Ovis aries: one gene and its partner. The protein of the gene in region 2 interacts with the protein of the main gene of each other region in a biochemical or structural test. Links are inferred from orthologs where the notes say so. Each region holds a gene or a part of one and is shown on either strand. Other genes may lie near its edges.

What was found.
Region 1: the proteins of WASL (region 2) and PFN1 form a complex in vitro, tested with the Homo sapiens proteins (2 studies listed by BioGRID). The link is inferred for Ovis aries from reciprocal best matches to the Homo sapiens genes WASL and PFN1.

What each region holds. Positions count from the first base shown.
Region 1 is NC_056064.1:26,323,844-26,328,231, reverse strand, and holds PFN1 (profilin-1), read right to left. Parts: upstream 3,092-4,388; 5' UTR 2,938-3,091; coding exon 2,806-2,937; intron 1,366-2,805; coding exon 1,173-1,365; intron 546-1,172; coding exon 448-545; 3' UTR 195-447; downstream 1-194. UniProt on the Homo sapiens protein: Binds to actin and affects the structure of the cytoskeleton. At high concentrations, profilin prevents the polymerization of actin, whereas it enhances it at low concentrations. By binding to PIP2, it inhibits the formation of IP3 and DG.
Region 2 is NC_056057.1:89,673,084-89,677,392, reverse strand, and holds the start of WASL (actin nucleation-promoting factor WASL), read left to right. Parts: upstream 1-1,402; 5' UTR 1,403-1,770; coding exon 1,771-1,887; exon of another isoform or gene 1,888-4,309. UniProt on the Homo sapiens protein: Regulates actin polymerization by stimulating the actin-nucleating activity of the Arp2/3 complex. Involved in various processes, such as mitosis and cytokinesis, via its role in the regulation of actin polymerization.

The DNA of each region.
Region 1 (4,388 bases), on a different chromosome or scaffold from region 2:
TGGATATGTTATTGGAGAAGGCCTGGCCAATCTGGCCAGGTGTTTAATCCTGGACATGAAAGCAAGAAGCTCAAAATCTTAGACTTTGTATTTCCTAAACTCTCCTGCCGCTTCTAACCCCAAGCCAGGATAAAGGAGACAGGTCACAAGAGCTGTCTTCCATCCTGACACCCAGGCTAAAACCACACAGCACCTTGTTAGTAGAATCTTTTTTATTCAGAAAAAAAACCCAAAAAACAAAAAAGTTTTCCAACCACACACAGGAGGGGTACGGGTTGGGGGCAGGGGATGTCTGTCCATCCAGCCCAGGCCCCCAGCCCATGTGGTTTTGGCAGCAATAAGGGGTGTGGGGTAATGGCCCAAAAAATAAAAATGGTGTATGTATGTGTGTGGGAAGGAGAGGGGTGCAAAAGCAGTGGGGAGTGGTGAGGGGAGGGCCAGACGAGGTCAGTACTGGGAACGCCGCAGGTGAGAAGCCATTTCATAACATTTCTTGTTGATCATACCGCCGTGGACACCTTCTTTGCCCATCAGCAGGACTAGCGCTGGAGGAAAGAGAAAGGAGGCTAGGACCCAGGTGTCACCACCCCACCCCCTGCCAGCTGTTCAGCAGCTGTCCAACCCTGGGGGCTGTAACCCAACCTCATCTCTCCCAACCCCCCACACACAGGCAGGCTGTCAGTCACCCTGAAACAATAGGTCTTTTCAAAAGGGGAAAATCAAGCTTAAAGGCTGGAAAGGAGCACAGTAAAATTTAGGGGTCAAAGGCTCCTGGACTGTTGACTCATGTGTTCAGGCTAGAAATGGCTGTGGATGAGCCGGCCACCTCCAAGTTTTCACAAAAGAGCTCAAAAGACAAGAGCAGAATGCTGACTTACAATGAACCTTTTACCTCCTCCAAGAAAACAGGGAGTTTCTCCTCTGAAAATGCTCAAGGTAAGAAGCAACTTAAGAGGTAATACAGTTCAACTTCTCTACACCGTATGGTGAGGCGTATGGTGAGGCACTGAGACAGAACTAGAGGAACAATTCGATGCCCCAGCATCCAGCAGGCTGGGAGTAGAAACCTGGTTTGATCCTTTCATACTAAGTGACCACACAGAAGAACCCAAAAGATTAACAAAAGGAGGTACGTTAGGGATTTTGGAGCTAGAGAATGGGTAAGAACTCACTCTTGGCAGTCATGGTGACAGTGATATTGAAAGTTGGGGCTCCACCGGTGCTCTTGGTACGAAGATCCATGGTAAATTCTCCATCCTGCAGCAGTGAGTCCCGGATCACAGAACATTTCTGGCCCCCAAGCGTTAGCCCATTCACGAAAAAACTTGACCGGTCTTTGCCAACCAGGATACCGACCTCAGCAGGCTGAAAAGGGAACCAAGCACCCAGCAAGTTAGTCAATACACCAAAGTTCTCACCTGTCTTCCATTTCTCAAGGAAGCTAAGCCCCCTGGGGTGAAAGGTGTATGTTATGTGCTTTGTACACATTCGTGAAATTTGAGAAACTCAGGATTGTTGGAAGTGCACAAAAATATGATCTTGAAACCTAGAGAATGGTACTAGGAAGGGACAACATGGTCCTCTGACTCAGATGTCGATTTAGATGTCGTTTAATAGGGAAAGCAAACCCAGTAAATAAATGGGGCCAAAAACCAGTTAAGAGAATGGAGTGGAGAGCCTTGGATGCTCAGAACTCTCCTTCAGGAAAAGCAGAAGCGAAGAGGGGAAGGGAGGGGGCGGGCAAAGCAGGAGAAGCAACTTTGCCCTTATTTGGTCAAAGGTTCTGCAGGAGTTGTTAGGGGCCCGGACGCCTGGGTCTCTAAGTAACTTAGAGTTTAGGTTCAGGTATCTATGCTCTAAGATGAGCAAGCAGATGCCTTGGGGCATTCAGCGAAAGTCGAAGAACTTTTGGAGGGGGCCTGGGGCTAGACCCGACAGCCAGCTCTCGGGTCTAGATACCCCGGGGAACGTATCTTCCCCTCCCCCTTACACCCCAAATCCCCACATCCGGTCCCCTCCCGCCCGGAAATCCCCTTCCCCCCCTTTCGAACTTCCGCTCCCCCTCCCCACTTCCGGGCAGTGTGGACAGGGGAGTTGGTGATGGGGACAGCAGCAGTCATCCCTTCTTCCTTCACTTATACTGTCCTAGAACTTCTCACAAAGTTCCCCTGCTCCAGGCCCTGCCTGATGGCGGGAAGGGAAGGCGAGGGGACTCCCGGGACTGGTCTCTCAAGAATGCTGAGTCCGACCGGCCGACTGGCGGGGAGGGGGTCGTCGTGTGGCGCCCTAGCCCTCTCTAATGGAGTTGGGAGGGGCAGGGAACCCACGGAGATCGGGCTAGGGACCCAGGCCATGCGACTGGGGCTCCCTCCCGGTTCAGAGGAACAATAGTGGAAGGGGCGCGAGCTGGCGGCCGGAAGTGGAGCTAGGGGTCCCGGGGTCCCCAAGTCCCTGCTCAATCAAAATCCTGGGTAGAAACTACGGCGCGTGCCCGACCCGCCCTGGAGGAGGCGGAAGTGGGCCGCCGCACCGGGCGGCGCACCCTCCCCGCCCCGTGCCCCGGATGTAACGCCCCGTCGCGGAAAGCGGGGCGGCGGGCGGGTTGGGCGCCGCCGCCCGGGGCGGAGGATTCAGGGGGCCATGGAGGGGCCCGCTCACGTGCAGCCGCCATTCGCGCCACTTCCAGGGCAAGGACCGGGTCACGGCCTTTCGCCGCCCTCCGCAGACCGCGCCCGCCCCCACCCGAGTCCCTCCCTCAGGGTCCAAGCCGGGCCAGTCCCCAGGACTGTGCAGGCCTCTCAGTACCGTGATGTTGACGAAGGTCTTGCCGGGGACGGCGGCCCAGACGGAGGGCGAGTCCTTATAGCCCACGATGGCTGCGTCCTGACAGGTCCCGTCCGCCATGAGGTTGTCGATGTAGGCGTTCCACCCGGCCATGGCGCTGCTATTGGGGCTGCTCTCGGGGCTGCTGCTGGGGCCGCGGGCTGGGCTCGGGCTGGCGGGCGGGGGAAGACGGAGAGCTTGGGGCACGCGCTGCCGTCCGGACCGCGGCTCTGCTAGCTGTGCAGCAGCCCTCGCACCGCCACTTCCTGCTCCTCCCCACCCCCCTAGATTTTTATTTGCAAAGGGCGGTGGGGGCGGGGCTTGCTCCCCACTCCCTCTCTCCCTCCCCTCTCCTGCCCAGATACCGAACTTTGCAAATGCATTTTAAAAAATCCCTCCCCCTATTGCAAAATTTGCAGAGTTCGATGGAAAGCGAGGCAAAAAGAATCGGGGTGGGTGGGGATGGGTTAAGGTTAGGGCCCGCTCCACTCCGCCTAAACTATCAGACTTTAGTGGAAGGAAAGGTAGTGAGCCACAGGGAAGAAGGAAAGTGAAAGAAGTAAGAATTAGCAAACTGCAAATTTAGCAAATTAAAGAGGATTCGGGTAACTCAGGGTTAAACAGAACGACTCCCCCTTCCCCCACCTCTGCCGGGGGCAGGAACGGCGGGCGGCGGCGGGGCGCGTGCGCCCGCGCCTGCGCCGGGGCCGAGAGGGAAAGCGCGTGGGGCGGTTAGGGCAGACGGCGGGCTTCGCGGGCGCGCGCCCGGGCGCGCCAAGCGGGACTGATTTGGACCCTCGGTGAGGGCAGGCAGGCCGGGGACGTGTCTCCCGCCGGGCGGAAGGGGCGGAGGCGAGGCGTGGCGTGTGCCTGGCCGCTTCTGCCCTCTTGATTTTATTTATTCAAGAAATAAGGTAGTAAAAGGAAATTAGACCAAATACCCCCGGCCGTCTTCAGAATTGAAGGCACCCACCAGGGACACTTCTGTCCCCAGCATCTGCCCGGGCGGCACAAGCGGTACTCACTGGAGCCCACCTCGACTCCAGGGGGTTGTGACTCACTGGATCGGCTCCAGCCTCATTCCTCACTCCACGTCCCAGCCCTGCCCGAACCCCGGTCAGCAGTTTGGGTCACCGGCTGTGCCCCTTGGCCCGTGTCTGCAGAGGTCATTGAGCACCGTGGGGCCAGACGGGCGGGCCTATTTTCCAAGGCGGAAGAATACTAAGCGGTTTCTCAAGATTGCAACTTTTTCAAGAGGAGGAAAGTCCCTTCAACTTTGCCCTTTTGGGTTTTTCTTGTTCTTTTTCAGTAAAACTTAAGCTAAGAACTTGTGTGCGATGAGTTCGCTGGCTATCCACCGGGAAGCGGGTGGGGCAGGACCTGGAGTCCGGCTTAGGTGACTCTAGCTCGCGCTGGCCGCCGGGGCCGCTGAGGGGCTAGGCCGCTTCCGGTCCCTCGGGGGAGGGGCGGCTCCCGGGCGCGAAGGGGCTTCGTTTCCCTCCTGTCCTCCGTAGCGGGCGCGGCCACTCGGAACCCACGGAGCACCCGACGCCCCCCGAACCAGT
Region 2 (4,309 bases):
TCCTTGTTTATATTTCTACTGACTTTCCAAACCTATTTTACAAAAAGTCTGCCTGCTTTCTCAAAATCACTTTTTTTTCCTAACACTGTAAACCAAGGTAACTTTGACATATCCATATTTTATGTGAGGACTCACAGAACTATGATTACATTTTCCTTTTAGATTTATTTCCACTCAGTTAATTTCATTAAGGCAGCCTTCATTTTTTAATAATTTTTTTAAAGAGTATTGATAATGGCTTAACAATCTGTTTAGTACACCCAAGATTTGTACTGGGAGCTTTCAGAAATATTAAAATCAAATAGTTTTACCAGCTTTCATTTGTTAAAGGATAGATGTCTTGAGTTTAACATGTTTTTTGTTTAAAAATAAACAAATACGATGGTAACGATTATACAATAAATGCTAATTTGTTTAAAGTGGAGATGTTTATTCTATAATTCAGGGCAGTGTGTATTATTTATCATCTCCATATTACCAAACTTCGTTTTAAGCCAGCTGTCTAGTGTTTAACCTACTGAGCAAAGGGAGTTACTCTAGTTTCCAATATTGAATATAAATTTTTAAAAGATTCCTGAGATTTCGGATTAAGTTAGATGTATTTTTCTGAGTGACATCTCTAAATGGGTACATTCATTTTGGATAAAAAGTAAACAAGGCCTTTGGTGTTTGAGAAGAAGAAAAACACGAGGAGGGGAAAAGGAAATATTTTTCAATTCATAAAACATCAGGGAAATGTGTGGAGGACCCATAGAGAAACGAACCCAAACTGCAATATTACAAATACATGTATCCTTTTGAGAAATACCACCGGGCAGTAGAAACCTTTTCTAAGTGCCTTTGCTTTTTAGGAACGTCCATCAGCAAGGTCTCTTCCACAATCCTGGCAGAGGCCTGTTCATCCATTTCCACTGTTGAAGTTGGGACAGTGTCTGAGAAACCGCAGGCACCTGCGGCTCTGAGCGAACTGGCGAGGAACACAGGGAAGGGCGTCCCTTCTCTCATTTTCCGTCTCCAGCTTCCAGAATTTTCTGACAGGAGCTCGAAAATCTTTTTTCTCGTGTCTCAGAAAAAAGCTACTTCGGGGACGGGTCTGCAATGACGCTCCGCAAAGGTGTGCGTCTCAGAAGAGGGGATGACAGCTCGCTGGCGGAGACGAGCCACCTCCTCTCTTCAAGCCTCTGTAGAGGACGACTATCCGAGGAACCAGTTCGGACGCCAAACGCTGCGACGGTCCCACAACCCCGCGTCACACCGCAGAGCGCCCGTAGCCCGCGCCTCAGCCGGAAGTGGGCGTGGCCTCGGGCCGGCTAGGCGAAGCCAGGCGCGGCGTGGGGAGGTGGGGTTCCTCCCGGGCCCGGCCCGCAGCCGCGCGTTTCCGGCGCGCTCCCCCGCGTCTCGCGTCCTGTGGTCTCGCCCGTACCCCGCTGCCATGTTGGATTGTGAGGCCGTTGCCGCCGCCGCCGCCGCCGCCGCCACTGCCGCCGAAGGAAGGTTGGGGGAGGAGTTGGGAGTTTAGCGCAGTCGCCGGAGTGCGAGGACAACGACCATCCGGCCAGAGCCTACCCCGGCGGGAACGGGGAGCTTCCCTTTCTCACAGCGGCCCGCCGTCGGCTCCTCCTTCCGTGGCCTCCTCCCTGCGCCGGAGGAGCTGCGAGATGCTACGCCTCTGATTCCCCTCCTCCCGCCCCTGTCACCCAGAAGGGGAACGAGCGCTCGCCCACTCGCCCGAGGAGACGGCCCTGGCCTCCCTACCCCGCCGGCGAAACCATGAGCTCCGGCCAGCAGCAGCCGCCGCCGCCGCGGAGGGTCACCAACGTGGGGTCCCTGCTGCTCACCCCTCAGGAGAACGAGTCCCTCTTCACCTTCCTCGGCAAGAAATGTGTGGTCAGTGTGTGAGACCCGCATCGCCGCCCCCGACCTTAGCCTCCCGGGCCCGGGAGGGAGCGCCGGGAGGTGGGAGTGGGGAAGGAGGCGGGAGCGGCGCGGGGAGAATCGGACTGCTGGCCAGGCCTTTCTCTGACCCGGCTCCCTGGGTGCGGGCAGTGCGGGCCGGAGGCCGCCTCTCGGACCTGCCCAGGGAGCAGGGAAGTGTCAGGTCCGCAGGCCTGTTCTGGAGCCCTGCTCGCTCGGACCCGGGTCCGTGCCTCTGCTGCTGGTTCAGACTTTACTGTCAGGCCTCGCGGGGATATTTTTATAGGAGCTGCCTGATCGTAGTAACTGGGCTCCTGGACTGGCTCTCGCTTCTCCTCCTACGACCCCGATGTGGGGGTACTTTCCTTCACAATGCCATTGGTTTCAGGAGTGGGTGTGGGTCGGGGACCGAAACTCAGATATGAATGAATCGGGCCGTAAGGTCGTCTTTTATTCTCCCTTGAGGATCTCAGGAAGGAATGAAGTCGAGTCCATCGGTTTAGAACGGGGGGCAGGTAATGCTGCTGCTCCCCACTGCAGAGAAACGAGGTTTATTTCTCCAGCAGTCTCTCTCAGGCCTGGTTTCTCTCCTCTCCACTGTTTTTGTTGTTGTTTGTTTGCATTGGTCGGAGATGCTGCTCTCCCAGAACCAAGCTCAGGGGAACCGCGATCTCCAGCAGTTCTTGCCTTTTGGGATCTGAGAATGGGTCTTACTTAGGTCGGTGCTGTGCGGCCTGTTCCAACTCCAGATGGCTGGTTGGAGCCAGCAGCTCTGCTGTGGGAAGGGGAATGTGTTGTTGACGGAAGCATTCATTACATTGGCTGCTGGCGCTTCTGGGGGTGGGGAGGTTGTGCTCTGTGGGGTAGGCCTTGTCAGCCTGCATCTTACTGGGGTGGCCGAGTTGAGCTGTGGTTGAGATTGTTGAAACGCTGTTCAGTTCCCTTTCTCCCCTCTTTACTGGTTAACACCTGCAGAGTCTGTGCCACTGGCACCCCGGAACCACCGAGGGAAATGTCAACAGAGCTGTACCTTTTACAGCTTTCCTTCTAATGTTAAATGTGTCACCCAGACTGCACCTGCTTGTTTAAGAAGTTAGGATTAGACAAGTTCTGGGAAGTTACTAGATTAATTGTTAACTTTCTAGGAGTTTACCCATTGTATCCTGTTCCACCTGGTAGGAGATTGAATCATTACGTTACGTGCAGATGTGTTTCGTATTTCAAAAGTTAGACCTGATCAGAATAAAAAAAGGTGCGTTAGAATCAGGATTTGGGAAAACAGCTTTGAAGACAGTCAAGCCCCCTCTTCACTCTCCCCACACAGTTTTTAAACAAACAAGATAACTGAGCCGGTGAGCCCTCTGTCTCACAGCAATTTAGTAATGTAACCGGAACTAGAAAAGCAGGACTCCTCATGCCTGTTGTGTTGTACTTTCCACTACATCATGTTGTTTTAGAAGTTTTTTTCTTACTTGTTATTTATTTAAAAGTAGTGTTAAAGAAATAATCACTTTTTTTTTTCATCAGAAGCTGATACAATTAAGGTGTAAGATTCTTAAAGCAGCCCTAATTTGTGCATATTTTCAATTTAGGAAAATCTCCAGCCATTTGAATGTGACATTATCTGCAAATGAAAAGTTTTTTAAAAAAATTTTCTGGTACACTACTTATGTTATATAATCTGTCTCAGAAAAGGAAGTAATTGTACTATGTGTTACATACCAGACACATTAGGCAGGGAGGGACATTACATTTATACACAAGCATACTGACTAATTGCTCTGCATTTCCTATAATGTTTACTGGTGTCAAAGAAATGACAGACATGTAAGAATACAGCGATAGATAAAGAATGGATTTCTGTCATTTAGAACCACACTGTTGGAGTTACCTGCTCTTGCTGTATGAAATGGTTGCAAAGATTAATATTTGAAGTCTCCAATTATTAGACAGTAAAGAATGAGATCTTAATTTCTGGAACAGTTCCCCCCCCCCCCCTTTGCTGACCATGCAGTATTTTGTACATTATTGAAATATTTTATCTCATTAAAAAAAAAATCATGCAATGAGATTTACAGGTCAGACCAAATTTGTTAAGCAAGAAGTGCATTCAGAGCTTTAAGAATTATCAAGAAAATGAAGCTGGAGTAGTTACAGTCGTAGCTCTCAAGGAGTTTCATTCCTTCTTTCACTCAGCAAAGTAGTATTGAGTAGCAAAGAGTCGGACACAACTGGGCAACTTCACTTCCTTTCTATAGTTCCTTTTGGAGAAGGAAATGGCAACCCACTCCAGTGTTCTTGCCTAGAGAGCCCTATGGACAGAGGGGCCTGGTGGCTACAATCTATGGGGTTGCAAAGAGTCAGACACGACTAAGCAACTATCACACACACACAG